Linked DNA regions of Macaca fascicularis. The protein of the gene in region 4 interacts with the protein of the main gene of each other region in a biochemical or structural test. Links are inferred from orthologs where the notes say so. Each region holds a gene or a part of one and is shown on either strand. Other genes may lie near its edges. The genes, in order: XPO1, ERBB4, DOK1, ABL1, ERBB2, MAPT and ATR.

The links.
Region 1: the proteins of ABL1 (region 4) and XPO1 interact in a test that uses a peptide from one of them, tested with the Homo sapiens proteins (2 studies listed by BioGRID). The link is inferred for Macaca fascicularis from reciprocal best matches to the Homo sapiens genes ABL1 and XPO1.
Region 2: the proteins of ABL1 (region 4) and ERBB4 form a complex in vitro, tested with the Homo sapiens proteins (2 studies listed by BioGRID and IntAct, with this or other methods). The link is inferred for Macaca fascicularis from reciprocal best matches to the Homo sapiens genes ABL1 and ERBB4.
Region 3: the proteins of ABL1 (region 4) and DOK1 form a complex in vitro, tested with the Homo sapiens proteins (5 studies listed by BioGRID, with this or other methods). The link is inferred for Macaca fascicularis from reciprocal best matches to the Homo sapiens genes ABL1 and DOK1.
Region 5: the proteins of ABL1 (region 4) and ERBB2 form a complex in vitro, tested with the Homo sapiens proteins (3 studies listed by BioGRID and IntAct, with this or other methods). The link is inferred for Macaca fascicularis from reciprocal best matches to the Homo sapiens genes ABL1 and ERBB2.
Region 6: of the proteins of ABL1 (region 4) and MAPT, one has a biochemical effect on the other in vitro, tested with the Homo sapiens proteins (2 studies listed by BioGRID). The link is inferred for Macaca fascicularis from reciprocal best matches to the Homo sapiens genes ABL1 and MAPT.
Region 7: of the proteins of ABL1 (region 4) and ATR, one has a biochemical effect on the other in vitro, tested with the Homo sapiens proteins (2 studies listed by BioGRID, with this or other methods). The link is inferred for Macaca fascicularis from reciprocal best matches to the Homo sapiens genes ABL1 and ATR.

What each region holds. Positions count from the first base shown.
Region 1 is NC_088387.1:60,431,867-60,435,404, reverse strand, and holds part of XPO1 (exportin-1), read right to left. Parts: intron 3,433-3,538; coding exon 3,294-3,432; intron 3,131-3,293; coding exon 2,949-3,130; intron 2,864-2,948; coding exon 2,707-2,863; intron 2,633-2,706; coding exon 2,469-2,632; intron 1,285-2,468; coding exon 1,150-1,284; intron 1-1,149. UniProt on the Homo sapiens protein: Mediates the nuclear export of cellular proteins (cargos) bearing a leucine-rich nuclear export signal (NES) and of RNAs.
Region 2 is NC_088386.1:108,380,050-108,384,255, forward strand, and holds the start of ERBB4 (receptor tyrosine-protein kinase erbB-4), read right to left. Parts: upstream 2,818-4,206; 5' UTR 2,198-2,817; coding exon 2,116-2,197; intron 1-2,115. UniProt on the Homo sapiens protein: Tyrosine-protein kinase that plays an essential role as cell surface receptor for neuregulins and EGF family members and regulates development of the heart, the central nervous system and the mammary gland, gene transcription, cell proliferation, differentiation, migration and apoptosis.
Region 3 is NC_088387.1:47,388,229-47,392,381, reverse strand, and holds DOK1 (docking protein 1), read left to right. Parts: upstream 1-1,332; 5' UTR 1,333-1,367; coding exon 1,368-1,427; intron 1,428-1,762; coding exon 1,763-2,062; intron 2,063-2,187; coding exon 2,188-2,281; intron 2,282-2,490; coding exon 2,491-2,675; intron 2,676-2,892; coding exon 2,893-3,618; 3' UTR 3,619-4,116; downstream 4,117-4,153. UniProt on the Homo sapiens protein: DOK proteins are enzymatically inert adaptor or scaffolding proteins. They provide a docking platform for the assembly of multimolecular signaling complexes. DOK1 appears to be a negative regulator of the insulin signaling pathway.
Region 4 is NC_088389.1:13,167,388-13,171,544, forward strand, and holds the start of ABL1 (tyrosine-protein kinase ABL1), read right to left. Parts: upstream 2,808-4,157; 5' UTR 2,229-2,807; coding exon of another isoform or gene 2,130-2,228; 5' UTR 1,522-2,129; coding exon 1,386-1,521; intron 1-1,385. Other genes in the region: uncharacterized protein, read right to left, coding at 2,130-2,228. UniProt on the Homo sapiens protein: Non-receptor tyrosine-protein kinase that plays a role in many key processes linked to cell growth and survival such as cytoskeleton remodeling in response to extracellular stimuli, cell motility and adhesion, receptor endocytosis, autophagy, DNA damage response and apoptosis.
Region 5 is NC_088390.1:60,768,461-60,771,998, reverse strand, and holds part of ERBB2 (receptor tyrosine-protein kinase erbB-2), read right to left. Parts: intron 3,141-3,538; coding exon 2,989-3,140; exon of another isoform or gene 2,926-2,988; intron 1,811-2,925; coding exon 1,597-1,810; intron 840-1,596; coding exon 705-839; intron 348-704; coding exon 279-347; intron 69-278; coding exon 1-68. UniProt on the Homo sapiens protein: Protein tyrosine kinase that is part of several cell surface receptor complexes, but that apparently needs a coreceptor for ligand binding. Essential component of a neuregulin-receptor complex, although neuregulins do not interact with it alone.
Region 6 is NC_088390.1:67,473,558-67,477,821, reverse strand, and holds the start of MAPT (microtubule-associated protein tau), read right to left. Parts: upstream 2,815-4,264; 5' UTR 2,682-2,814; exon of another isoform or gene 2,241-2,681; intron 1,995-2,240; exon of another isoform or gene 1,739-1,994; intron 1,229-1,738; exon of another isoform or gene 1,104-1,228; intron 1-1,103. UniProt on the Homo sapiens protein: Promotes microtubule assembly and stability, and might be involved in the establishment and maintenance of neuronal polarity.
Region 7 is NC_088376.1:45,385,463-45,389,707, forward strand, and holds the start of ATR (serine/threonine-protein kinase ATR), read right to left. Parts: upstream 2,809-4,245; 5' UTR 2,720-2,808; coding exon 2,661-2,719; intron 1,471-2,660; exon of another isoform or gene 1,267-1,470; intron 1-1,266. UniProt on the Homo sapiens protein: Serine/threonine protein kinase which activates checkpoint signaling upon genotoxic stresses such as ionizing radiation (IR), ultraviolet light (UV), or DNA replication stalling, thereby acting as a DNA damage sensor.

The DNA.
Region 1 (3,538 bases), on a different chromosome or scaffold from region 4:
GTGGCTCACACCTATAATCCCAGCACTTTGGGAGGCTGAGTCAGGCACATCACCCTGAGGTCGGGAGTTCAAGACCAGCCTGACCAACATGTAGAAACCCTCTCTCTACTAAAAATACAAAATCAGCCAGGCATGGTGGCGCTTGTTTGTAATCCCAGCTACTTGGAAGGCTGAGGCAGGAGAATTGCTTGAGCCTGGGAGGCAGAGGCTGCAGCGAGCTGAGATCATGCCATTGCACTACAGCCTGGGCACCAAGAGTGAAACTCCGTCTCAAAAAAAAAAAAAAAAATTATCCACATAATTACTGAAACAAAAGCCATTACACTTCCCTTACCCTAAATCATATTTATAATCCCAAATGGTAAAAACGAACACAAAAGCCTTTTTGTCCATATCTACCTAAGAATGAAGTAAAATATTTTTTGAGACGGAGTCTCGTTTATTCGCCCAGGCTGGAGTGCAGTGGCGTGATCTTGGCTCACTGCAAGCTCTGCCTCCTGGGTTCACGCCATTCTGTCTCAGCCTCCTGAGCACAGCTGGGACTTACAGGTGCCCGGTGCCACGCCCAGCTAATTTTTGTACTTTTAGTAGAGACGGAGTTTCACTGTGTTAGCCAGGATGGTCTGGAGCTCCTGACCTTGTGATCTGCCTGACTTGGCCTCCCAAAGTGCTGGGATTACAGGCGTGAGCCACCGCGCCCGGCCCAGATTTTCAGGTTTTTTTTTGAGATGGAGTCTTGCTCTGTCGACTAGGCTAGAGTACAGAGGCTCGATCTCGGCTCACTGCAACCTCTGCCTCTTGGGTTCAAGTGATTCTCCTGCCTCAGCCTCCTGAGTAGCTGGGGTTACAGGCATGTGCCACCAAGCCCAGCTAATTTCTGTATTTTTAGTAGAGATGGGGTTTCGCCATGCTGGCTAGGCTGATCTCGAACTTCTGGCCTCAGGTGATCCGCCCGCCTCAGCCTCCCAAAGTGCTAGGATTACAGGCGTGAGCCACCACGCCTGGCCCAGATAATAAAATGTACAAAGCCACACATAAAAGCACTTACGGATCACACATACATGTTTAAAGGCTTGAATTCAATATATTTGTAAGGAACACAGTCTTCTTAAATCCCATGAAAACTTTAAGAAAAAGTAGAATACTTACTTTGGTTGCCTGCTGGATTATACTATCCCACACTTGATTAGGGAGTAACATGTACTTTTCTATCAAGTGTTCTTGTACTGTTTGATCTGTTTGTGCACCAATCATGTACCCCACAGCTTCATAAAACGTATGAACCTATTTTAAAAAGCAGACATTTTAACTTTTATGTTCTTATACACCCTAATAAGGAAAACCACACACAAGCAATTCACACACAAGCAACTCAAATATCTTGAAACTGATTTTGGCCCAGGTGCGGTGGGGATCACTCCTGTAATGCCAGTACTTTGAGAAGCTGAGGCAGGCCAATCACTTGAGTTCAGGAGTTGCAGACCAGCCTGACCAACGTGGTGAAACACCATCTCTTCTACAAATACAAAGAAATTAGCCAGGCATGGTGGCAAGTGCCTATAATTCCAGTTACTTGGGAGGCTTGAATTGCTTGAACCTGGGAGGCAGAGGTTGCAGTGAGCCGAGATTATACCACAGCACTCCAACCTGGGTGACAGAGGTAGACTCCATCTCAAAACAAAACAAACAAACAAACAAACAAACAAAACCCAAACCAGGCATGGTGGTGGCTCATGCCTGTAATCCCAATACTTTGGGAGGCCGAGGCGGGCGGATCACAAGGTCAGGAGTTTGAGACCAGCCTGACCAACATGGAGAAACCCCGTCTCTACTAAAAAGGCAAAAGTCAACTGGGCGTGGTGGCACGCACCTGTTAATCTCAGCCACTGAGGAAGAGAATCACTTAACCCCAGGAGGCTGCAGTGAGCAGAGATTGTGCCACTGCACTCCAGCCTGGACTCTATGATAGAGGGAGACTCCGTCACACACACACACACACACACACACACCCCCCCAAAAACAAAAACAAGAATCTGTCTCACTATGAAAATTTAATCAGGCCGGGCATCGTGGCTCACACATATAAAATAATTTTGGGAGGCTGAGGCTAGCGTATCGCTTGAAGCTAGGAGTTCAAGACAAGCCTTGGCAAAACCCCATCTCTACCAAGGGGGGAGAAAAAGGCTAGCTGGGTGTGAAGGCGGTGCACGCCTGTAGTCCCAGCTACCCACGAGGCTGAGGTGGGAAGATCACCTGAGCCTGGGAGTTCAAGGCTGCAGTGAGTCGTAATCGTGCCATTGCACTTGAGCCTGGGCAACAGAGTAATACCCTGTTCTCAAGGAAAAAAGAAAGTTTAATCAGAAACACTTCTATTGGATCCAACAGTTGCCTTCCTATTTCCACTGATACATACAGATTGATACAGGTGTTACTTTCTAAAAATAACATATGCTCAGTGCTTAACATACCTGTTGAGGCTGAAGATCACAAATAATAGTGTTAATGTTGTTCAAAATTTCATCAATAAATGGCATCACTTCTCCAACCTGAACCTGAACGAAATGCCTACGGCATTTTTGGGCTATTTTAATGAAAGTATCACAAGCCATGTCCTGGACTCCATCATGGGTCTCTAACAAGACAAAAACATTCATTTATTTTGTTCAATAAAAATAAAAACAAAATATAGTAAAGAAAGAGATTTACCATGCATGAATTCGAACAGCTTGTTAACTACAGTCTTCAAAAATTTCCAGTGAGCTCTCAAAAATCGTGGATATTGACCTACTATGTACATGATATTTGATGCAATAATAGCTTTATTATCTTTGCCTCTTTTCTGTTCACATAATCCTAATAGATCCTGTAAATAAGACAGATTTATATCATTTATTGTAACAACATAATACTTATTTAGCAATTCTAATTCATACCTATCCCTTGCATACCTTTATAACAGTAACAAGAAATCGTTTTTCATCCTCTTCATGCATTGCTCCACTAATGGAGCCTATTGCCCAACACAATGTATTCAAATTTTTCCACGACCACTCTGTACCATTCACTTGATTGTGAAGCTTCTCTGTCATTATTCTTTCTGTATCTACATAATCCAGATGAGTAAGATAAACTACGAAAAAAAAATTGTTTCAAATGCAAATAATGAGCAAAGAGTTTTACCAATGAATACCATGTTTAGAAAATATTTAGAAACTACAGTACATTTTCTAAAATATATTTCTACCCCAGAATAAATTTATAAAGGTAAAGATTAACAGTATTTATTAACTTACCTAATGTTTCCCTCATATTCTTATACAAATTTATGGAATCTGTATCCTTCATGAATTCTCTCACAACTTCTCCTTGATCATTCTCTACAACCAATACTTCCTCTGGTTTAGCCATTCGACTAACCATTAATAAACGGACCTATATTCAGCAATAAATCAATCAAGAAAAAATCATTAGATCACTGAAATCATTAGTGTAGAAGCTTAGTTAAAAACAAAACCAAAAAAACCCACAGGCCAGCCAT
Region 2 (4,206 bases), on a different chromosome or scaffold from region 4:
AAGTCCCCGGGGCATTTACAGTTTCCATTGGATCACCTTAGTATGCGTGTTGCAATTATACCAGGGATGCACCCGAGAGTTTTTCTTTGTACGGCCCTTTCATCTGGATCACTTTGTGTTTTGAACAAGTGAGACTCGCCTTTGTGCCCCCAGAATTTCAAGTACAGAGTCACACACGGAACAATGGCACGCTAATCCTCGCGCTCTAAATGGGCTCACTTGTGGGTCTGACAATTCGCCCAACGAAACGAGAAGAGATGAGCGAGGGCGCGAGCTGGTGTCGCCTGAGACGAGGAAGAGGACAGCTGCAGAACTAATTTGGATTACATTCCTTGCAGAAATTCTGAAAAGGGCTTTTCGGCATAGCTCAACCCGGAGCCGCACAGTTAATACCAAATTGCTGCGGACTCGGAGCGGGGTCCCTCAGCGGCAGAGGCTGAACCAGCCAGCCCCCAGTAGGTCGCCTCGTAGAAATTCCTCTCGGCTAAGCCTGCATGTCGGTCGCCACTGCCTTTGAATGGGTCAATGTGTATAATCAACCCATTGAGGGAAAATATGAAGGGACTCGAAGTGGGGAGGGAGATAAAAAGAGATGTATCTAAGAGGCCGCTTGGAATGTCAAGTCCGTGTTGGTGTGATTCCGGGGGTGGCTGGAGCGCGGGACCTGGTATGCGTGAAGAATTTCGGAGTAATTGGGAGGGTGCAAACAGCCAGCACAAAACGCCGCACATGTGCCATTCGAAGGTCATTTTGAAAGCCTCGATGATTGTAACTTGTTGTTTACTAGGCAAAGGAGGCGGCGGCGGCGGGGGCGGAGCGGGAAAACTACAGCTTGCTGTTTCCTTGGTGAGGTCAGAAGGACACCCTCCGGGGGCCTAAAGCGCTCCCTATCGCCACTCCCGGGGGCTTTATCACCTCAAGCTACTTCCCACGCTCCAGTCACCATCCCCGAATGGTTTCAGAAATCTCCCTGGCTCTCCAAAAGGCACCCCTTGGCCGCATCAGACACCGGTCCTCCTCAGACCTCTCCCGTCCCACTTTCATCCCCAGGAAACTCAAGTGTCAGAAACTTTGAGCTTCCTTGCACTGCAGGTGCTGTCATTAGTCCTGCAAGCCTTGGCGCTCCAACCCCGCCGCGCTGCCTCTCGGGGTCAGTTAGCCCTTTGCCTGCCCAGGTACCTGGGGCTCGAGCTCTCCAGCAAGCAGTGGCCGCGCACCCGCCGCCGCCGCTTGCGCCTCGGGTGGATCCAGTGACCCGCAGGCTCGGCAGCCCGGCCAGGCAGTAAACAGACAAGTTTGAAGGACTCCGGCCAATAGCAAGTTGAACTACAGGAAGAACTCTTCCAGGAGCCAAACACGGCAACCGACGGGAAGGCCCGGCTTCTGGCTCGAGTGTGCCAAGCCATTTTTTTTTTTTTTTAAGAGGTCATGCAGGCGAGCAAGCGCCCCTCAAGTCAATGGGGCGAGGGCTCCGGGAAGCCGGCCGAAGAGGCCCAGAGCTCCAGACCCCGGACCGAGGCGCGCCCGCCCGCTGCACTCTTGCTGCCCGGGCTGGGTACGAGTCGCGTCTGACCCCACAAGGCTTGGGCGACTGGGGGCGCAGCGGCCGCCGGCAGCACACACAGGTGCAAAGCCCGGGTCTCTGAGCGCCACTCTCCACCGCCCTTCAGGCTTGGCGCGGGAGAGGCCCAGCCAGCACCTCCCCAGGACCCCGGCCCTCCGCGGCCCCGGCGGTGCGGGTTCCTCCCTCGAGGGACCAGACAGGGACAGGAGAGTCTCCTCTGACTGGGGATTTGGGTCTCCCATGTCCCGAACAACAGGCGCCACCAGAAGGGATCCCGCTTAGGCTCCCACACAAAACGCTCGGGAAAGAAAAACAGGGGGTTAAGGAGAGAAAAAAGAGGGGCTCAGAGTGATTTCTTCACGATAAAGCACAGGCACACATACAGGGTAAGTTTCAAATGGAAAGAGGGGCGACCGAGAGCCCAGGGAAGAAGTCCCGGTCGAGCGGTCCCTCCACGCCTCCCGGGATGGGTGAAGAGGGCGGGGGAGCCACTCAAGGCAGCCCCGCCGGCGGCGGCAGGTTCGGCGACCGGAGCGCCAGAAGGAACCCACCTGACTGAGAATCGCTGGGCTGGACGGTCCCCGCCGCCACGAGAAGGCTCACCCAGACCCAAAGTCCTGTCGCCGGCTTCATTTTTTGGAAGTCTCAGATCCCGTGCTGACAATTACATGTCCAAATGGCATATCCCCCTTTCGGGCACGCGGAGGAGATCCCCCAGCCGGGCGCGCGTGGGGGCGCGAGGGGGGCGGGCGCGGCGCGCGCGGTGTAGCGACTCCCAGGGCGGGCGGCCGAGTCCGCGCCCGCGGGTCCAGGGCCGGGGCCCGAAGAGGGGGCGAGTGTGCGTGTGTTGGAGTGTGCTCGGTGTGTGCGCGTGGCGGTCCGGGCCGAACTGTGCAGTTATTTCCCCGCGTGAGCCTTCGCTTGCTCGCTGCCTCCTCACTTTCTCTCTCTCTCACTGGTTGGTCAACAATAAAAAAGGAAGGGGGGCGAAAGGTTTCCAAAAAAAGTTGATTGCAAAGAGGCGGTAGGTTTCCGGCCTCTCCCCGCAGCCGGGCTGTGTTCTGCTCCTTCTTCAGTTTCCTTGCACCTCCAGTCCAAATGGGGAGGGGAGCGGGGCGGGGGGAGCTTCTCGCTTCTCCCCGGATCCCGTCCTTCTTTTTCCTGTCAGCTTTCCTCACACTTGTCCGGCGGCTGCGGTAATTAAAGCTCCGAGCGTCATTTCCAACGCTCCGCGGTCTCCAGCTGCAGCCCACAGAGAAATTAATAAGACTCCAGAAAAAAAAAAAAAAAAGAAAAAAAAAAAAAGGTGGGGGGGGCGGTGGGAATAAAACAACCCTCCACGCAACCAGGCAGGCTCTGCTCAGCCGCGCAAACCCCGCCCATGCTCTGACCCAACTAGCCACGCCCTTCTCCCCCGCCCCCCGCCCCAAAGGGAAATCTCATTGGCTCAGCCACTCCCCAAAATCCTAGGCCTCCGGAGTTGGGAAAACACCTGTCAGGGAGAGGGAGCCGCTTGGTGGGGGCAGGGGAAGCTGGATTTAAAGGGCTCACCGAAGCCATGCACTGAAGCACTCCTCTTCCCTCCCTGGCAGAGGCCTGGGACAGCTGGCCCGCAGAGTGGACAGACCATCGGAGGGGCGCTTACAGAAAAGATTTTTTTAAAAAACAAGTCAGCATTTTCTCCATTGTCCCACGGTGCTTATCTACAGACAGGACTTTCCCTAGAAATAAAAGAAAAGTCAATGTTGCTTTCAGCAAAAAGCCTCCGCCCGCAGCACTCTGCCACTCATGGTCCACAATTAGAAAGTACTTTAAAAGTGTGCACAGTAAGTAACTAGTAGCCCCTGAGGATTAGGTGGTGGTAGGGATATAATCACCGCCCCGCCTCCCGCCCCCAGTTATGCCATCTCTCCGGTTATTCCCACATTTCCAAACTGACCGACATTGAGCCAAACTAAAATTTCACATTTATAAAGCCATACCCTTTGATTTTTAGATTTTATGTTTTTTTCACCTTTGGAGTTCATTCTTATTAAGCAGATTCTAGTCCAAAGCCACTGATTTAATCTTAAAGGGCTAGAAATTGTCTCAACCTGAAAGTATTTAAGGAGGCCACATCAGAACATAATTAACCTTAAATGATTCTGCTTCTTCTACAGTAGACCCAGCTTTAGGCCCTTTCCTTGTCCTCACTCTGCACATTCATGGTCCCTAATCCGGAGGTCATTGCTAGTTATGAAAATCTCTGACCTTTTCTGAATCTAAAATATTCTGGGACTGGGTCATATCAATGTTCATATCCCTTGCCTTTTACAGCTCTGAAACCGCACCCTGGCAAGGACCAGAATCTCCTGGGGGTAGTAAGTTATTAGTTACTATTTGTACAGGCATTCTATGTATGAATCACTTTCCTTTTTTGGTTTTTCTAGAAGCAGCAAATATATAAATAAAAAGTATCAGGGGAGCTTAAAAATCAAACCACCCTGCCTTTCATTTGAGACCTGGATCTCCATTTCCCACTCTCTTATCTATAGCTCCATCCCTTAAGAATTTCCATGGAGCTGAGAACAGATAGGAAATACAGATGCCTGAAGCCTGAAGCTTTCCCTTTCTTAGACCCACAGCAAATAACAGGCTCCATG
Region 3 (4,153 bases), on a different chromosome or scaffold from region 4:
CAGGCCTTAAGGCTGGGTGGGGGATGGGGTAGGGTTGTCCCAGCCTCCTGCCAACACCACCATCGCTGTCACCTGGCAACCGGAGGCCAGGCGCTATGGCTCCTCAGCCAAGGCCTTCTCTGCCTAGGGCTGAGAACAGCCCCTCTACAGCAAGCCCCCGTCAACATGCTTCCCCCAACCCAAACAATCAATCCAACAAGGCAGCTTTGTTCTGGGGACATTTTGGCTTGGGGACCCAGGGGTAGGGCCTCCCGGAGGAGCCCCCTCCCTTAGGGCGCGCCTGGTGGCCCTGTTCAGAACACCCGGAGCCCCCGCCTCCGGTATGTGCCTCCTCTCTGTACTCTGTCTCACATGCCCTTAGACAAGAATCAAACTCTCAGTTGGGTGGCTTCCCCTCGACTCCATCCCACACCACCGTTTTCTCTGGTCCCTCCACATCCTCTCCATCCCCTACTCTCTCCCTCTGCGGTTAACGTGACTCCCCCTACCTTGACCGAGCAGGACCCTAATGGCTGGGAGAAGAGTGCTGGTCCTGGAGATCAGTCCTAGGACTTCCAAAAAAAAAAAAAAAAAAAAAAGATCGGCCAGGGGAGACTAGACCCCCCTCTCTCCCCCTTCTCCGTTCTTCCCTCCCACATCCCCCTGAGCCCTCCCACATTCCGCCTTCTCGCTCCATTCCTCCCGGCCAGTTCCCTCCTCTCCTCCTCTGGGTCCTCCCTCCCTGTGGAGCGGGCCACTGCTGCGCCCCCTCCCCCTCCCCGGCCCTCCCGGCCGGCTCAAAGAAGCTTTCTCTTCCCGCGGCATGGAGGCCAGGCCTCTGCGGTCAGGGAGCTGACATGCAAGCGGCCGCCGGGCGGCGGGGCGTCCCCGGTGGTGGCGGGAAGCGGTTCAGTCCCAGCCCTCCCTCCGAGTCCCGGGTCAGCGGAGTGTAAACAGCCCGGCTCGGGCGGGGCTGGGGGCGGGCCCGCCCAGGGGAACTGAAGCTCTGGAGGCCCGTGTGGGTCTCTCCGGTGCCTCCGGGGGCTTTCGGGGTGAGGTCATGGCTTTCACTCTGATGTCACGTTGGACATATGACGTCACGCGCAGCCACCACGTCCAGAGGCCAGGGTCCTCGCGCCAAAACCGAGTACTTTCGGTGGAGCTACCGGCGCGCCCCTACGACGGCGGGTAGGGGCCTGGGTAGCGCCAGGCTAATCCGGGGGCCTCCACCCTTCCTTCTCGCTCTTCTCCCTCACCCCACCGCGACCCCCCAGCGGCCGCCGGTGGGGGCCGGGGAGGGGCGGAAACGCCTCCAGGGAACCCGGCCCCGCCTCCCGCCCCGCCTCCCGCCCCAGGGCCAGGAAGCGCGGAAGGAACCGCCGGGGGCCATGGACGGAGCCGTGATGGAAGGGCCGCTGTTTTTGCAGAGTCAGCGCTTTGGGACCAAGGTAGTCTGGGGCACGGATGCCTAACCTTATCCGGGCTAGTAGTGGGTGAGAGAGCCCAGAAACAGGGAGAGGTGGGCAGCAGGCTGGAGCGCGGCGCGGGCAGTTGGAGAGCCTGTGACTGTCCTGCGAAGTTGCTTTGTACGCTCCCAGGAAGCGTCTCTAGTCTCGGGGTTCTGGTCTTGGGGAGACGGAGTGGCATCCTCCTTGGGAAACTTCGCCCCCCCGTTTGGAAGCCCCAGACCCCAAATCGACCTGCGCCGCTCCCTCCTTCCCCGTCGGGACCCGGGCCGCCCGCGCACGCCACTCACTCTCCAGCCCTCTCACTCTCTCCCTAGAGGTGGAGGAAGACATGGGCCGTGCTCTACCCGGCCAGTCCTCACGGCGTAGCGCGGCTCGAGTTCTTTGACCATAAGGGGTCGAGCTCTGGGGGTGGCCGAGGGAGCTCGCGCCGCCTGGACTGCAAGGTGATCCGTCTGGCTGAGTGTGTGAGTGTGGCCCCTGTTACCGTGGATACCCCGCCTGAGCCCGGCGCCACTGCCTTCCGCCTGGACACTGCTCAGCGCTCGCACTTGCTGGCGGCCGACGCGCCGTCCAGTGCAGCCTGGGTGCAGACGCTGTGCCGAAACGCCTTTCCGGTGAGGAGCTGCGGCGATGTGGGGTGGGGGCAGTTACAGAGGCAGAGAAATGGGGCTGGCTCAGACCGACACCCACTCCCCGTTGAGAAAATTACAGGTTTCTCGATGCTCTCTCTCTACTACAGAAAGGCAGCTGGACTCTGGCGCCTTCAGATAACCCACCTAAGCTTTCTGCCCTGGAGATGCTGGAGAACTCCTTGTACAGCCCCACCTGGGAAGGTAGACGCCTAAGAAGCCGGGGCAGGGATGGAGTGAGGAGGAGGGCCTTTGGAAAGTGGGTGGATACCCAGGGGCCCATGGGGAAGTAGGAAGGCCCTGAGATCTGGCTTCCAAGTGAGTGCTTGGACATTACGCTCATGAGTCCTCTGGGTCCCCACTGCTGCCCCCGCCCCTCCCCCAGCAGCTGTCTAATCGTATATGCCTTCCAGGATCCCAATTCTGGGTAACGGTGCAGAGGACTGAGGCCGCCGAGCGCTGTGGCCTGCATGGCTCCTACGTGCTGAGGGTGGAGACTGAGAGGCTGACTCTCCTGACCATGGGGGCCCAGAGTCAGATACTGGAGCCACTTCTGTCCTGGCCCTACACTCTGTTGCGTCGCTATGGCCGGGACAAGGTGCAGGGGCTGTCCGGGAGGGCTTCCTGGGTTGGGCAGCTGTGGGAGGGGTGGGGCAGGACAGAAGGTGGGAAGCGCTGACCTTTGGATCCCCCTTTCTTGCCTACCCGGTGACCCCAGGTGGTCTCTTCTTTGTAGATACCCTAACTAGTGCAGGCCTGTGACTCACTTCCTCTGATGGCTCCTGGTAATGTGTTTCCCTCTCTACCCTCCTCAGGTCATGTTCTCTTTCGAGGCCGGCCGCCGCTGCCCCTCCGGCCCTGGAACCTTCACCTTCCAGACAGCACAGGGAAATGACATCTTCCAGGCAGTTGAGACTGCCATCCACCGGCAGAAGGCCCAGGGAAAGGCCGGACAGGGGCACGATGTTCTCAGAGCTGATTCCCATGAAGGGGAGGTGGCAGAGGGGAAGTTGCCTTCCCCACCTGGCCCCCAAGAGCTCCTTGACAGCCCCCCAGCCCTGTACGCTGAGCCCTTAGACTCCTTGCGAATTGCTCCATGCCCTTCCCAGGACTCCCTATACTCAGACCCCTTGGACAGCACCCCTGCCCGGGCAGGAGAGGGAGTGCAACGGAAGAAACCTCTCTATTGGGACTTGTTTGAGCATGCACAGCAGCAGTTGCTGAAGGCCAAGCTGACGGACCCCAAAGAGGACCCCATCTATGATGAACCTGAAGGCTTGGCCCCAGTCCCTCCCCAGGGCCTTTATGATCTGCCTCGGGAGCCCAAGGATGCATGGTGGTGCCAAGCCCGGGTGAAGGAGGAGGGCTATGAGCTCCCCTACAACCCTGCCACTGATGACTATGCTGTGCCACCCCCTCGGAGCACAAAGCCCCTCCCTGCTCCCAAGCCTGAACCTGGTACTGCAACTGGCAGTGGCAGCAAAAGCTACAACTCAGCCCTATACAGCCAGGTCCATAAAAGCGGGGCCTCAGGGAGCTGAGACTGTGAGCTGTCTAGAGTAGGGACTGACAAGACTGGGGTCAAGTCAGAGGCCTCTACCTGAGAAGGAGGGCAAGGCTGAGGTGGCTAAGGAGGACCATGGGGAGGTGGCACTAGGGATCTAAGAAAATGGTTAGAACCAGCAGAAGCCAGAAGGTGGGAGGGGCCGTGCTGTATGAGACCAGGGGACCAGAGGGTAGGGGAGTCAAAGGAAGGACAATCCCAGGAAGTCCTAAGAAGTGGGGCAGATGGCAAGGCTGAGGGATGGGCTCTGTATCCTCCTAAAGCTGTCCCTTCTCCACTTCCCCAAAGGAAGGGACAGCTGCGGGACCAGGTCTGTGGAAAGTGGTGCATGGTCAGAGTGGGTGCAGTTTGAGGGGCCCATGTGGAGGCCTCAGGGAGATGTTGGACTGTGCCTGGATTCTTACTCCTGCATTGTTCTTTGCCAGAGACCTATTTAAAAATTTTAAAATTCTCATTAAAGTCAGCTTGGGTTTAAGAAGTTTATGTGTGTGAACAGAAAAAGAGGGGACACA
Region 4 (4,157 bases):
CTCAACCCCTGAAGGGATATCAGGGACACGTAGGGAACTACACTGCTTTCTACACCAGCTTCCCGGAATGAGATTACTGGGTCACTGGCACATACATTTCAAATTCTGATAAGTTCCGCCAAAGCTCTCCAAAAAGTCTGTACCAATTTTCACTATGTAAGGTGCATGATCATCACAAGTTAAAATGTAAATAATTCACTTTTTAAATCCTGAATTTGGGAGCCATCATAACACATGACCATATTGGCTTGCCTAAAAACAAAGCTAAAATAGAATTAATGTTTCAAGGCAAAGTAAAATCCAAGCACCCGGATTTATTTAGATGAAGTGAGTATTTTCTTGTAAGAAAGTAAAACTTCAACCGTCAAATGCAAGTTCATCCAACAGAAGCCTTTGTTGATTGCAGTCACCCAATGTTAAGAAGTATTTCTGAATGAATTTCAAACTATAAGCCACTGGCACACTTGATACGTTTGCTTATAGGATAGGTGGGCTCAATTGATTTTTTAATATAAAGGACACAATCTGAAAAATGGCAGGCTGCAACAGTACAAACAGTAACCCTAATTAATTGGTTATAGACATTAGTGTAAGCCGACCCTTAGCTTTAACTTCACACAGAATTACTGGACATGAACAACATAAAATGTGCTGTCAGCACTCAAATGCCAAATATGTTCATAAAAATGTCAAAGACAACTTTTATTGGCCCAAATGTCACTCTAAACAGGGAGAAGAGAGGATGAAAGCTTCATCAACGAGGAAGGGATTACTCCTATGGAAGGTAAGACAGAAGCTGTGTATCTAAAATTAATAAGGAATGCTGCCTCCCCACTTGATTTTTCCCACATGGCTCCAAAGTGAGTATTTTCAAGTCCCACTTATGATGGAAAAGGTCAAGGATATTAGCATCAACCAGTATCTATGATTCTTAACTTTACCAGAAAAACAAACCACTTTGAGAATATGATAAAAGCTCTCTGTAGACAAAGCAGTAAAGAATCCATGCATGTCAGAAGAGCCCTTGACTTCGGTGAGAGCAGAATCATAGAACCATGCATCCTAAGAAACAACTGAAGTCCAGCCCCTCAGGAAACTGAAGCCCTGGAACAGTAAAATGGCTTGTCCAAGGTCAACAGTGAATTCGCAGAGGAAGCAGGCAAGAAATAAGCAACTCAAATAGATTCTGAATAAAGCCGAACTCACGAAGTAACTTTTTCTTATACAAAGTAAGTTTCACCAGAAACTTGAGAGATAACTAAAGTAACAAATGTATTAAGTGGAATTGGAAGGAACTGTCGCAAGTACTATTATTCAAAGTTCCTTGAAGGCCTAAGATGAACGCATGAGGAAAATAATGAGCAGAAATTTTGAAAAGCACTCACCATGTTCCACAAAAACATTGCAGTGTGGACCCCCATGCCTCGATGATTCCTTCTTCCCTGCTCCTTTGATAAAATGCAGGGCAGGCAAGCTTGGCCTTCTTTGGTCCCCAAGAACTTTTCCAGGCTGCTGCCCCATAAAGTAATAATGGGTACCCCTTTCCAGAAGAGGGTTCACGATCTTCCAGAACGGTCAGAGAGCGTAGAGGCAAATGGCATATACGCAGGATTTCACATTCGCTGCATCTCCACAAGTCAGCAATTGAAGTCAATCAGAGAAAGACCTCTTCCATAACAAAAGGAAGCACTTTTTTTAGGTTGACACTTGCAAGCAGGAGTTCCAATTATTTTCGCAGTTTATCAATTTTAAGTAATGTAATTGCAGTGTTACCCAAAAGTTTCTTGACTTTTTTTTTTTTTTTAACGGGCTGAATAACAATTTCTTTTCAAGAAGAAAAACCTAAGCAGAAATATTCACAGGGGATGCTGAAAAGGGTCAATAATGCTAGTCATTTCAATTCCCACATATAAAGGAAACGCTGATCGTCTTTGGCTACTCCTCCAGAACTTTTCCTGTGGAAGTCACCAACCTCCTATCTTAGCTTCTTCATCTTCCAACAAATTTCCTGCCGAACTAGTGGCCGCTCTCGCTTCTCTGCTCTGCTCTCCGGAAAAGGACACGGGTCACCCAGATTTCAGCGAGTTTGCCCTCGACTCTGACGAAAAGGAATGCATTGCCAGCAACTTTTAAGTCCGCTTTTTAAAAGGCCTGTGGAACCAATCCAGACTTTTCCTTTGCATTAAAGTTTTTGGCTGACCTGAGACTAAGGGGGCCGTAGGTGACATTGGAAGAAGTCAGGGCATTAGAGGCTCGCGGGAGCCACCTTGGGGGAAGGGGAGACCCCTTGACAGCAGGGAGGGATTTGAATGAGAGGCTCTGTGGCCAAAGTTGGGGCCGGGATCCGGAACAAGGGGCGGCTCGGGGCTGAGGGAGGCTGCCGGGGCGCGGCACGGGCGGCTTACTCCAGGGCGACGCTCTTCCACGCCTCGGAAAACGGGGTGTCCCAAGCTGAGGGTAACAGACCCCCAGTGTCCCAAAGCCGGGGTGGAGCTGTAAGGGACGAAGGACTCTCGCGGCCCAGACAGCGGAAGGCGGACGCCGTGTAGAGGAGGCCCGGCCGCCTCAGCTGCCCCAAGCCCGGGGGTCTCTGCCTGAGACACCCTCTCCCCCGGCCCCGGACGCTGACACCACCACCGCCCTCAGGCAGTCACATCCCCAGAGCTCCGCCGAGGAACCCAGCCGCCCCCCGCCGGTAGGGGCCGTGGACAGCGGAGGGGCTCCTCAGTCGCAGCACCCGGGAACCGGCTCCGGCTCCAGCGCTGCTCAGGCACAGACACCGACCCCCGCGGCCGCCATGATGGATTACGAGCCGCTCCACAACGAGGCCAGGCCCCGCCCTCCGCCCCGCCCACGACGACGTCCGGAGCCCGCCTCAAGGGGACCCGGATGCCCTCAGGGCCGCTTTCCCGGGACACCGCCGCGCGTCCCGGCTCTGGTCCCACTGCCTGCGAAAGCCGGGCCCGGCACGACCTTTTAAATGTGGCTTCTTTGAGCGCTAGGTGAGTGATAAGGAAGCACCCGCCTCCTCTGTATTGTCATTGGCCTCCGAGAATCCGGGTCGGGCCTCTCTCCCCCGTCCCATTGGCCAATGGGGGCAGTAGGGCTGGATCTCCCAGCCAACCGTGTTCGGCGCAGTCCGCGGTGCGTCCCGGGAGTTGTGGTCCCACGGCACCCGCGCGAGTCCTCCCGCACCGAGACTCCTGGCCCGGACCCCGACCGCTGGGCCTCGCCCCGCCCTCCTGGGACCTGGTGGACTCTCGCCGGCCGAGCGTCGGCTGGACCGCGTCTCCCCGGCGCGAGTAGTAAGACCGGGACAAAGCGAGGGAAAAACTGCGGATTGGATTTTCCTGGAACCGGAATCGGATGATTTCCTTCAGTCTCTAAGGGAGAAAATGTGGCTTGCTCCTAGAAGCCAAGGTTTTTGGTGCCTCTCAACCCCTTCACCCTCCAAAAAGCATAAATATTAGAACTAGCGGACGGGGCGCGGTGGCCCACGCCTGTAATCCCAGCACTTTGGGAGGTCGAGGCGAGCGGATCACCTGAGGTCGGGAGTTCGAGACCAGCCTGACCAACATGGAGAAACCCCTTCTCTACTGAAAATACAAAATGAGCCGGGCGTGGTGGTGCATGCCTGTAATACCAGCGTCAGGACGTTGAGGCAGGAGAATCGCTTGAACCCAGGAGGCAGAGGTTGCGGTGAGCTGAGATCACACCATTGCACTCTAGCCTGGGCAACAAGAGCAAAACTCCGTCTCAAAAAACAACAACAACAACAACAACAACAAAAAACAACTAGCGAAGAAACATACAGAAATAGGGAAAACATCCGACATGTTGCTAACGAATTCAACTATTTATTTGGGCATTAGGAGGCTTACTCATTACAGAAAAGCCATTTGTTGGGTTTGCCAGGCGCTATCAGATGTTTGCCCTGGAACGAATCTTTAAGACTATAAACATTTCACAGGTGAACACGTATTCACATGAAAACATCCTCTATATTAGCCGAGAAAATGCCCAGATGGTTGGGTTTAGCAAGTCTACAGAACCAATGACCTAGATGTGCCAAACCCACACCTGATAGAATCCATGTTCTGCGACTAAAAAGCACCTTGGTTCCTATTGGCTCTCCATGTCTCCCCAGAGGGATGCAT
Region 5 (3,538 bases), on a different chromosome or scaffold from region 4:
ATGGCAGCAGTCAGTGGGCAGTGGCCCCTTGCAGCGGGCACAGCCACCGGCACAGACAGTGCGCGTCACTGTTGGGCAAAGGGCAGGATGAAGGCTGAGTGGCACCCTGAGCACCAGACCCTCATCAGCATCACCTTCTAGGGAGACTACCTGCCCCAGGGAAGACATCCCAAGCCTGTTATCCCACCCCTCCCATGTCACCCGTATGACACCTGCATTCCACCCAGCCCCGGTCCTGGCCCTCCCCTTCCCTGACTCCAGGCCTCCCTGAGACTCACGGCTCTGACAATCCTCAGAACTCTCTCCCCAGCAGCGGGAGCCCTTACACACTGGAGAACAGGGGTGGCCTGAGGACAGAACCAGGGAGAGGCAGTGAGAGAGATGTCTAACAGTGAGAGGACGGGTTAATAACGGAGAGAGACACAAACAGCAGCAGAGGCCACGAGGCCAACTGCACAGTGAAGGAGGGACCCAGACAGGCTGAGAGGCCCCCAAACCACAGGCACAGCCTAGAAGCAGAGGAAGACAGGACAGAGAACCCCAGAGATGAAGAGGCCCAGAGAGATGGCAGGAGGGACAGAGAGGGAGGAAATGGGTGTAGGCGGCTGGGGCAGTGGCGGGCAGGCACTGGGTTGTAAGTCGGGAGTCTGGGGCTGGGGTCAGGCTGTCTGAGAGAAGAGGCAGCAGGGAGGGGCATGGCTTACAGGCCCGAGAGCGGTTGGTGTCGATCAGTGTGAGAGCCAGCTGGTTGTTCTTATGGAAGATGTCCTTCCACAAAATCGTGTCCTGGTAGCAGAGCTGGGGGTTCCGCTGGATCAAGACCCCTCCTTTCAAGATCTCTGTGGGGTGAGCAATGATCAGGGGACCCTTTCCCCTTCTGTCACCTTCTGCTTCCCTTGGGGCCCTCCTGCCTTCTAAAAGAGGAGCAGGCCTTTTATACAACCCCAGATTCCCCAGGGAGGAGAGAAAGATATCGTCACCGTCTTTGAGCCCACCACCACCACCCCCGCAACATGAACAAAGCGAGAGCCAGGGAGGAGTGAGTTGTCCATGCTACGTCCAGATGCTCACGTGGACCGCAGCTTTCTCCTTCCCTCTCACCTCTACTCCGGACATGTTGCTTGGTGGTTAAGAGACCGTGGAGTCTGAAACCCAGCCCCATCACTCACATCTCTGCAAGCCTCAGTTTTCTCATACGTAAAATGAGAATAACACTGATTCTTTCCTGACAGGACTGCAGTGTGACTGAAATGGGCCATGCGGGCAAAGCACCTGGCACCCAGACTCTGGGGCAGAGTCAGCTCCAGGGCCAGCAAACAGTTACATAGGCTGTTCACTGTACACTTCACTCAGCCAAGTGGGGGCAAAAACCCAGCCTGCATTCTCATGATTGAATTCTGTGCGCTGACGTAAGCTGCAGCTTCCTAGGAAGAAGGGGAATTTTTTCCAGTCTTCTCAGGGTGTCTTCCCAGGCTCTGCCTGCGTCTGCCCAGAAGGGACACCATTTCTAATGCACACAAAGCCTCCCCATGGTTAGCAGTGGCCCTGGTCAGCTCTGAATAACCAAGAGAAGGTTTCAATGACGGCGAAGGCCACCTGTGAGGCTTCGAAGCTGCAGCTCCCGCAGGCCTCCTGGGGAGGCCCCTGTGACAGGGGTGGTATTGTTCAGCGGGTCTCCATTGTCTAGCACGGCCAGGGCATAGTTGTCCTCAAAGAGCTGGGTGCCTCGCACAATCCGCAGCCTCTGCAGTGGGACCTGCCTCACTTGGTTGTGAGCGATGAGCACGTAGCCCTGCACCTCCTGGATATCCTGGAAGGGGGAAGCAGGGTGGGGCTGAAACAGGGACACTGCCACCCCCAGGGCCTCCCTGAGGTTCCCCAGTACTTGGAGATCTTGGGCAAGGCCCCCAGCCACTGAGCAGTCCTGTTCCCTCTTATATAAAACGATAAAATGGAGATAAAGATCACGCCCCACCTTGCCTCACCAGATTCTTACACGATCAAGAAAGATAATGGTGGGGGGGCACTTCGTAAACTCTGAACAGGTACCCCGCCCTCTCTGCATCTCAGTTTCTTCATCAGTGAAAGCAAAGGCCTGGATGGGATGGCGTCTGCAATTTTTTTTTTTTTTTTGAGACGGAGTTTCGCTCTTGTTGCCCAGGCTGGAGTACAATGGCATGATCTCGGCTCACTGCAACCTCCGCCTCCCAGGTTCAAGCGATTCTCCTGCCTCAGCCTTCCCAAGTAGCTGGAATTATAGGCATGTGCTACCACTCCCAGCTAATTTTATATTTTTATTAGAGACGGGGTTGCTCCATGTTGGTCAGGCTGGTCTCGAACTCCCGACCTCAGGTGATCTGTCCACCTCAGCCTCCCAAAGTGCTGGGATTACAGGCGTGAGCCACCATGCTCAGCCGGCGTCTGCAATTTGACAAACCAAGCACATGGCCCCACTCCAGGGTCCATGGACACAACCCAGCAGGTTGGTTTCCACTCTCTCCTGCTCATAATCTTTTCATAGACATTTCTCTTTTGAGCTTCACAATTGCTCCCAATATACAGATAGGGAAACTGAGACCCCGTGAAGCTAAGGGGGTGTAGGCCACATTCATAGGGCTCATCAGTGGCAGAACTGGGCCTGTAATCCACCTTTCTCACCAGCCCTTTCTGCTGCTGTAGATGGGAGAAGGATAGTGGCTGGGGCAGGTGGACGGGGGACATGATCATGCTGGCAAGAGAGCACAAGATTTAGCGGAAACACAGACGCATCCCATCCAGAGATGACCTCGGCCAGCCACATTAGAGAGAGAGTCAACTGATTCTGCAGTAAAATGAATGGGGGTTAGACGTTAGAAAGGACTTCCTGGTTGAGAAACCACAACAAAAGAGGAAACAAAGGGCAGGGCACCTTCTTCTGCCACCCACCTGTAAACAGAGGGCTCAGCCCAGCTGGAGGCAGGGCCTGGCTGGGTTGCCCACGGGCCTCACCTGCAGGAAGGAGAGGCTGGCATTGGTGGGCAGGTAGGTGAGTTCCAGGTTACCCTGCACCACCTGGCAGCCCTGGTAGAGGTGGCGGAGCATGTCCAGGTGGGTCTCGGGACTGGCAGGGAGCCGCAGCTTCATGTCTGTGCCGGTGCACACTGGCAGGAGGGAGCAGATGGGTCAGAGGACACGGGCGGGGGACCTTCTTGGACCTGGCCTCCCCACCCAAACTCACTCCCAGAGTCATTTCATCTCAGACAGGGAGAAGGCTGACTGAAGGACCCCTCCGCCGACATCCCTTGCACACTGCAGGTTTAACAGCAGGAGAAAGCTTGTGTGCTTGGGAAGTAGAGGGATTTCAGGGGAAAGGCGCCTTCTGACTAGGCCCACCCTGTGCATCCAGAGGCTGCCCCAGCGTGCCAGCCCTGTGGAGCTCACCCGCCAGTACAGGGTGTTGGCTGGCAAAGAAAGGCTTCCTTTGTCCCAAAGGCACAACTCAGGGCCAAGGGGTAAAAATCCCCCAAGAGAGGCGATGACGAATCCTGAATCTTCTGGA
Region 6 (4,264 bases), on a different chromosome or scaffold from region 4:
CGGCCTTGCCCACCGCAGTGGCCCAACCAAAGCGCCAACACATTTCAAAATGGAGCGAAATCGCAGAAGCGCGGATTGTGCTTTGTTCCCAGCATTGGGCTAAATGCGCTCATCCCCACCGGGCTCCCTTTCCTCCAACGGCAGCAGGTGACATCTCTGCTCGAGATGGCAATAGGCAGCCTTGACCGTGGGCTCCCCTTTTCCAGGGCCGTCCCGAGACCCTCACTCCATCTGGAACCGGAATCCCGCGCCCAGCTCTGTCTGGGGGCGAGGGAGGAGAGAAGATGCTTGAACTGACCCCTGAGCCGCTCTGCAACCCCTCGCGGTGGCTCAGCCATGCGGGAAGCCTCGCAGCACTCAGGCTCCAGCCCTCGACGCCACCGTCGAGGAAGGTCAGCCTGGTCCCGGGCGGGCTCTAGTTCCCCAGTCAAGCCATTCCCCGGAAATTCAGATCAACCTGGGCAGCCCGCGTGGAGGATTCAGCTCCTAGATGCTCGTTCGTCTCAGAAGTGCGCCCCCCCGCACCAGTTTTCAGCGATAGAATTAACCAGAAAACGGCGCGTACCAGGTTCATCACAGGAGGGCGAGGCTCGGATGCCTTGGCCAGGAGTTCTCCTTGCAGCCCCAGACTCGGTTTTGGGGGTACGGTGAACTTGGATACGGGTGAAATCCCGCATTTACGATAAATAATATTAATCAGTACAGACATAATATTAATAAAAATACACCCAAGGGCTGCCTATCTGCGGCCGCCAGAGGCCAATTAGAGTCTCAGGTGCAGGGGTTGGGGGCTTCCTCCCGTGTCCTCCAGGAGGCCAACTGGGCGCGGCCCCGCCTACCCCAGGGTCCCCAATCTCCCCAGGGAAGGGGTGGGGCCAGCCCCAAGGTCCCCTCTCCGGACGCCTGTGGTTCCCATGGCAATTCCCCCTCTGTGCCCCCTCCAGTGGGCTCAGAAAAATGGGTGTGGCCGCAGCACCAGTAACCTTATGCCCCCTCCTCACATTCTCCCGCCAGGCGAAGCAACAGGGCGTAAAGCTGGAGAGGCCCCACCGGGGCTCCCCACCCATCCCCGAATGGGTAGCCAGCGTCCCTCGTTGGGCAACCTGGTGTGGCTTGGCCCTCAGGACACTCGGGGTGTTGGGAGGGGCGTGATCCCTCTGCCGCCGCCCGCAGCGCAGCACGGAGACTCGAATCCCATCCCTTCAGAAGCTTCCTGGCGCCCGCAGACTCCGAGACGAGGCTGCGCGCGGTCACGCCCGTTCCATGCGTGCCGGGGGTCGGGGGGTTGACTCGGGTTCGTCGACCCCAGCAAGCCTCGAGATCCAACAATGGGCTCGGAAATGAGGAACGAAAAAGGAAAGAGGTGCTTGGGGGTGGGGGGAGGTTGGCTAAACACCCTCAGAATAAAAGCCAGAAACCAGGGCTGGGAGCGCAGATCACGTAACCTCTACAGACAAAGCAAAGAGCCCCCGAAGAAGGTGCTGGGTGAACGCCCCCAGCGCTCACGCCCGCAGCAGCAAAACGCCAAGATTTCAGCGCTGATTGTCCCCCTCCCTTTAATGCCAGGCCCCGCCCTGTCCTACGAAGCCCGGCCACCCGGTTTGGCATGGCACCGTAAAGACGTGACACGCCGAAAAAAGATGGCACCTCGGGAGTGGGAGGAGGCACAGCCTATCCTCCCCCCTCCTCGCCCACCAGGATCCACACCCACTGCCGCAGTGAGGGGCGAGCCCTGCGCGCCAGCCCCGCGCCTCCGGCAGGGAGCGCACACGCCGGGCACCCTGCGCGCGGAGCGCTGAGAAAGAAACCCGCCCCGAGATGCACCTGCAGCCCCGCGCCCGTCAGTGCATGGCTGCTGCTGTGCCTGCCCGCGAGCGGGGACCGGCGGCCGCCGACTCCGTCCACATCGCCAGGCCAGGTGACCCCTGCCTTTGCGAGCGTGCACACTGGGATCCTCGCACTGTTCTCAGGCACGGCGCTGCTCGCGTCTCTGTGCCAGGCGTGCGCAGGGGGAAGGGCAACTAAAGTGACAGCGCCTGGACCCCTCCCCATCTCCTCGATTCCTCCCAGCCCCCAAATGTCCCCTACGGGTTTCTGAAGGAGGAAAAGGGGAGGGGGCCGGCCCCCGCCTAAAATCAGGGGCAGTGAAGGCCCTGTCGGAATCACTGCTCGGGAGGTAAAGGGAGGGGCGTGCAGGGAGTCAGTCATCTTTTCTAGAACCCGATCCACATCTTCCTTAGGGCTGATGGCGAACAGCGGCAGGGACAGCGGATTTCAGGTTCGGTTTCGGGGGTCGTTATCGGACCCCTCCCCCCCACGCACGCCCATTGCGGCAAAAGACTGCGGTCGAGAGTGAAGGGCAGCCCCCTCCCCCAAGTCACCGCCGCCGCGCCCCACCCTGCCGGCACGGCCTCCACCTGGGGTCGGCGCGAAGCGGGTGAAGACCCTCCAGCACACACACACGCGCGCACTCAGGCGTGCGTGCATCCCTTGCTCACGTCCCTTTCCAGGCCGCCCTGGCCCCAGCCCCCGAGCAGGGGAGGCAAGGAGGGGCCCTGCGGTCGCCCCGACCGATGCCCGGCGCACGAAGCCCCAGTCTGTGGAGGCTGAGGGCGAGGGGCGGCGGCGCAGGGGTGCACAGGGGCGGACGGCGAGGCAGATTTCGGAGCCGCGGCGCTTACCTGATAGTCGACAGAGGCGAGGACGGGAGAGGACAGCGGAGGAGGAGAAGGTGGCTGTGGTGGCGGCGGCAGAAGGTGGGCGGTGGCAGCGGCGCTGCTGTTGGTGCCGGAGCTGGTGGGTGGCGGTGACTGCGAGGGCGCGCGCCGGCGAAGAGGGCGCGTTCCCGAGGCCGGCAGGCGGCGCAGGCGCGAGCAGCGGGAGCGCGAGCCTCCCCAGGGGAGGGGGCGGGCAGCCCGGCCTCCGCGGGAGCCTTCTCCTCCGGCCACCAGTGGGCGCGCGCGAGCGCCCTGCCGCTCGGCTGTCCGGCGCCTCCCGGCTGGTTCCTCTCGGCGCTGCCCTTTCCCGGTGCCCCTCCCCCTACGCCTCAGGCCGCGGCGCTGACCGCAGCGCGCACGCGCGTTCCATGGCGCACGCGCACTCTCCGCCTCCCATAGCTGGAGCCTTTGTCTCGTTGGAGGGGTGGGTGTCTTCCTTCGGGCCCTGCGGGGTCGGGGCAAGGCCAGTGACTCCGCCAGTGGGTCCCCTGCCCCTTTCCTTTCAGTCAGCCTGAGGCGGTGTCCTCTCCTGGAGAGGTCCTGAGCGACCTTCCACGTGGCCAGCTCCCCAGTCCGCCCACCCCGACCCTCCGAGTCCCGAAATCGCCCCCCTGGCTAAGGTCGCTTTTCCCCAGGCTGCTTCCTTTCTCCTTGCTTTTTTCCCATCTTTTTTGTTACTGACCAAGGTGAATCCTTTCCTTAACAAATTCACTTAAAGCAAGCTAACTCAGTTACAATACAGTAGAACTGTACTTTAAAAAAAAGTATTTGGATCTATGATGTATGTAACCGTGACGCTAGAAAAGAAATCTTAAATTAGACCAAATTGAAATAGTGCTTAACACATCGCAGAACATTTGCACACACAGTTATTTGTATCACGTCTTTTGAAACATCTTTATGCTGTAAGTAGAGTTTGAAGTCTGAATGTTTAAGGGCCAGCTGGAGATTGTCCCCTGGAAGAGGCATCTCAGCCTGAAACTGACCAGTGGTCCTCATTCTACTGGTCACCCAGGCCCCAAGCTTCGGCCTTAGCTTGGATTTTTCATTTCCCCAACGTCAAATTTAAGCCCTGGCAGTGGGCGGATTTCTATGTATGGGGGTTTAGGGCAGCCGTCTCCTCCTAGGGAGATGGGAAGTTGTCTTGAAGCTCCAATTTGCATGGTTCTTACATTATTTTTTAAAAACCAACATATGTTATAGATTAATAGAAAAAGCAAGTAAAATGCTTTATTCACACTGAGTTTCTGGAACTGACCTTTTTCTTTCTTTCTTTTTTTTTTTATCCATATTAACTTTATTTTTAAACAGAGGGGCATATATCCAAAGAAGTAGGAGTGAGAACCACCGTGGGGGCTTGCTGAAAGCGATCTGCCCTAGCCTTCTGACTTCAGAATGTCTCATGAGCCAATGGCCTGGGGATGGAACTGCCCCTTGATGGTGTACACCTTAGAAAAGTCAATGGAATTGACCTTTTTTTGGAGACAAGGTCTTGCTCAGGCTGGAGTGCAGTGGCACAGTCATAGCTCATGGCAACCTTGAACTCC
Region 7 (4,245 bases), on a different chromosome or scaffold from region 4:
TCTATTTTAAGTAGGTAAAAGTAGAAATGGAGAGATCAACTAAGTTTACTGTAATACTTTAGGTAAAAAATTCTGGTGGTAGCAGTGGAGACAGTGAAAAGTGTTAGATTCTAGATGTATCTTAAACATATAGTTGTCAGAACTAACTTAAGGATTATTAAGGGACAAGGGGAAAAAACCAAGGATGACTCCTAGGCTTTTGGTTGGTATATTTACAGTAACATGGGAGAAGGAACAAATTCAAGGGCAGTAAATCAGGCGTTCTGCTTTGCATATGTTAATTTTCACTTCCCAGTGTGGATGTTGAGTAAGCAACCTAATATATATCTCTGATCTAGAAATATAAATTTGTGAGTTATCAGCATATGGATGACATTTAAAGTAATGAGATTAGGTAAGATTACTTGGGAAGAGAGCACAGATTAAAAGAGGGCCAAGGACATAGTCTAAAAGCACATGGGAGAACAGTCAAGAATGACTTCTAGATTTCTGTTTTGGAGAAATAAGTGAATATGGTGCCATTTACTGAGATAGCTCTACTTCAATGAATAAGAGAAAAAAAATTTTTTTTTAATTTAAAAAAAGAAAGCTTATGAAGGTTAGGACATGTGGAGAATTTGTATTGGATATGCTGACTTAACTACACATAGGACACTCAGTGAAACTGCCAGTATACAGTAAATATACAATTCTATAGGAGACATGATTTGGAAAAACATATTAGGAGTCATCAAATAGCAGATTATGGTTGAAGGCAGGAAAGTGGAAAGGTCATTTGGCAAGACTATGCAGAGCAGAGTGCTAACAGCAAAAAAACAATAGGACAAAATTTATCTGAGGGACTGAGGAAGAGCAGTCCATAAATTAGAACACTAGTATCTCATTTTTTTTCAGTAGTCTAATTGCCACAGTCAATTAAAGGAAAACGTTTTGGAAGAAAAGGCCTTGAGAGCTTGAATCTGAAACCTAGCTCTGGTATCTGCTAGCTGTGCCTTTGGTTCTTCAACTTCTCTGACCCTTTTTCTTAAACAGTGGTAACACTTATTCCATTCTATGTCATGGACATACTATGAAAATGGATCAGCTTTTTTGATTCAAGTAGTTTTAATGAAAAAGCCATGACAATTAAAAACTATTAGACAACTCTCTATGGGTCAGTTTTTCTATTCTTTCTCTTGGCATAGCTACAAATAAATGAAAGGTAACATAAGCTCTACTGATGAACAGACTATATATAATCCAAGAACCAATTATTTTTATTAACAGGACCCACGGAGGAAGACGCAAGAGGGAAGAGAAGTATTAACCAGCTAATTCTACTTTAAAGCAAAGTGGGAAAAACATACTGAGCTTCACAGTGAGCCTGAAAGATGAAATTTGTAAACCACCTTCCTACAATGATCACTTTTCTTCATCTTCTTTTAGAGATGTAGAAGTTAATTTGTAAACTAGACACGAAGTATATTTGCCGCAGATAAAAAGTGGAAAAAATTCATACACTCAAAAATAGTGACGCAGTTAGGACAAGAATGATCCCTTCATTTATCCTCTTATTCATATATTGAAACTAGATTATTTGGATGGCCAACCAGTGGAAATGAACACAACTGCGCTGCAAAAAGAAAGAGAAGTAGCTATCCCATTGGCTTAATGTCAGCTTTGACTTTGTGTGGGAAGTTTTCAAACAGTTTAAGAAACTGGGAAGCAGTTGTTCCAACTGATAATTTAACTGCAGTAGCACCACGAGCTCATTTATTTCTTGTTCACAGGTTAGAATTAAACAAAACAAAACAAGCCCTACCGAGTCTTTAGGCCTGGTTCAGGGAAGCCTGCCTGTGTATTGATGGGGTGTGGCAGCCATCAACCCCTCTCCCTCCTTCTTTTGGTAAGATACTGGTTTTCACGAGGTTTACAGACAACAAGCATTTGCAAACCAAATATTAAATCGTCTCCAAATTTTGGCAACACTCTGTGCACGCTGAGATTTTGTGGACCCTGAGGTCTATCTCTCCAATTTCTGACTAAAACAACGGATCGGGAACTGGACGATCAATACGAAGGAGGTCACATCTTCAGTACGTACTGTGACTTCAATTCAAAGAAAAAAATTGCCTGTTCCAGCAAGTGATGTCACTTGCAGAAAATAAGAAGCGGTGATTTTCTTCCAAGGACAATTTGGGGACAAAATGTAAGGCTAAAAACCAATTCCTCCACGAGTGATCACGAAGAACAGAACCTGATGGGTCAAGTCCCTCGTCTAAGGAAAAAGATTTTCGAGAAGGAAATGAGTGTAGAAAAGTGACCAGAAAGCGATTATCAGGCACTCTTCCCTCCAGCTGCAGGAAGCAAACTCTCGGGTCGGGGCTAATTCTCGGGTCGGGGCTAACACCCACGGGCTGCTGCGGTAAACCAGGGCCAGCAGACGCCTCTCTCCCCTACGGACCGGCTTCCCGCAGGTTTGTGGCGACCGCCCCATGTCCTATCAACTGGCACTCTGAGGGAGAAGCGCCCAAATCAGCCACGGAGCATCTCCACAAGGGCCGCAGCGCGGACTTAGGGGATGCCAGCCATGGCGCGGCAGGGGAGGGGAAAGCATGTGAAACCCCAGCCGGGACCGGAGGAGGAGGAGGATGCAGGACCCAGGCTGGGCCTACCCCTACCTGCCGAGCTCCCGCAAGGCGGGGATCATGGAAGCCAGCTCCACACCATGTTCCCCCATGCTGGGGCTGCGCGGCACTCTTCAACCACGCCGACTCGGGTTCCCGGTGTCTCCAAAGCTACCGCTGCCGGAAGAGCGCGGCGCCCGACGGAGCCTTGCGGAAGCCAAAACTCCTCCCGGAAGCCGCTACTGGCCCCGTTTGCCAGGCCCTGCGTATTTTCTGCTTAGGACCCGGGGGAAGCCGGGAAGCCGTTAGCGGGCGGGGCAAGCGGGCTGGCGCGCGTCGGTCGAATTTCCCGGGTAGCGTCAGCCTTCGTTCTCAGCACCCAGCGAGCAATGTTCGTGAAGCTTTCGTTTTGAGCGGCCAGACTCTACTGTTCTCAAGCCTGGGAGGCACAGCGAAGCAACATCCCCGGATCGGGGGAGAATAGGGCTTGAGGGCCGCCAGCCCAGACTCTCGCTTCACAAATGTGAGAACGATGACAGCGAGTAAAGGCCAAGAGTAGACTCCAGGTTTCCCCAGAGTAACGCTCTCACATTTTAAAAGTTCCTCAGTTTCCCACCGCTCTTGTCCCTCTTTCTGAGAGATACAGGCCAAAAGGTGGGCTCTCCCTGTTTTTTTCCTTCTAAGCATTCTTTTTCAACTTGAAGTCACTCTTAGGTTTCCTTGAGGACCCTACCAACCTTTAATATTTAAAAATGGGGTTGGTTTATATTTTTGTCTCATCAAATCAGCAGCAGTACTATGTGTGGAAATGCCACCATTACGGGCATCCACAACCTGTGATTTAATTTTTAAAGTAAAGCAATGGGTTTTGGCAATACACATTTTCTAGCTCAATTTATTGGAAAGATGATCACTATAAGAGATTGTTGACATGTCGAAGTTAGGTAGTTAATCACTCAAAGTCATGCAGTATGTTTACATTTGTTCTTTGGTACATGAGGATAGTTAACTGATACAGGATCTTTTAAAAAAGTGATGTAATGACAGCCAAATATGCTCTTGCCTCAAGAACTTTCCATTTGCTGTACTCTGCCTTGAACGCCATTCTGTCATTGCCCCTTTTCCTTCATGTGTTTGCCAAAATAACACCAAAGAGCTTCATATAGACTAACATATATACACACTCTCTCTCGCTCTCTTTTTTTTTTGTTAGAAACATTGTCTTACTCTGTTGTCCAGGTTCTAATGCAATGAATGTTGCAATCATAGCTTACTGCAGCCTAAACCTCCCAGGCTCAAGCGATTCTCTCACTTCAGCCTGGGCTCAATTGATCCTCCTGCCTCAGCTTCCTGAGTAGCTGGGACTACAAACATGCCACAACGCCTGGCTAATTATTTTTTGTAGAGACAAGGTCTTGCTATGTTGCCCAGGCTGGTCTCAAACTCTTGGCCTCATGCGATCCTCCCACCTCGGCCTCGGCCTCCCAAAGTACTAGGATTAGAGGTGAGAACCACCACACCCGGACATACTATGTTATTGTTTCTCTTCAGTTACAATGTAAGCTCCTGGAGAGCAAGGTCTTGTCTATTTCGTTAACTATCAGATACCCAGGACCTAAAACAGTGCCTGGCACATAGG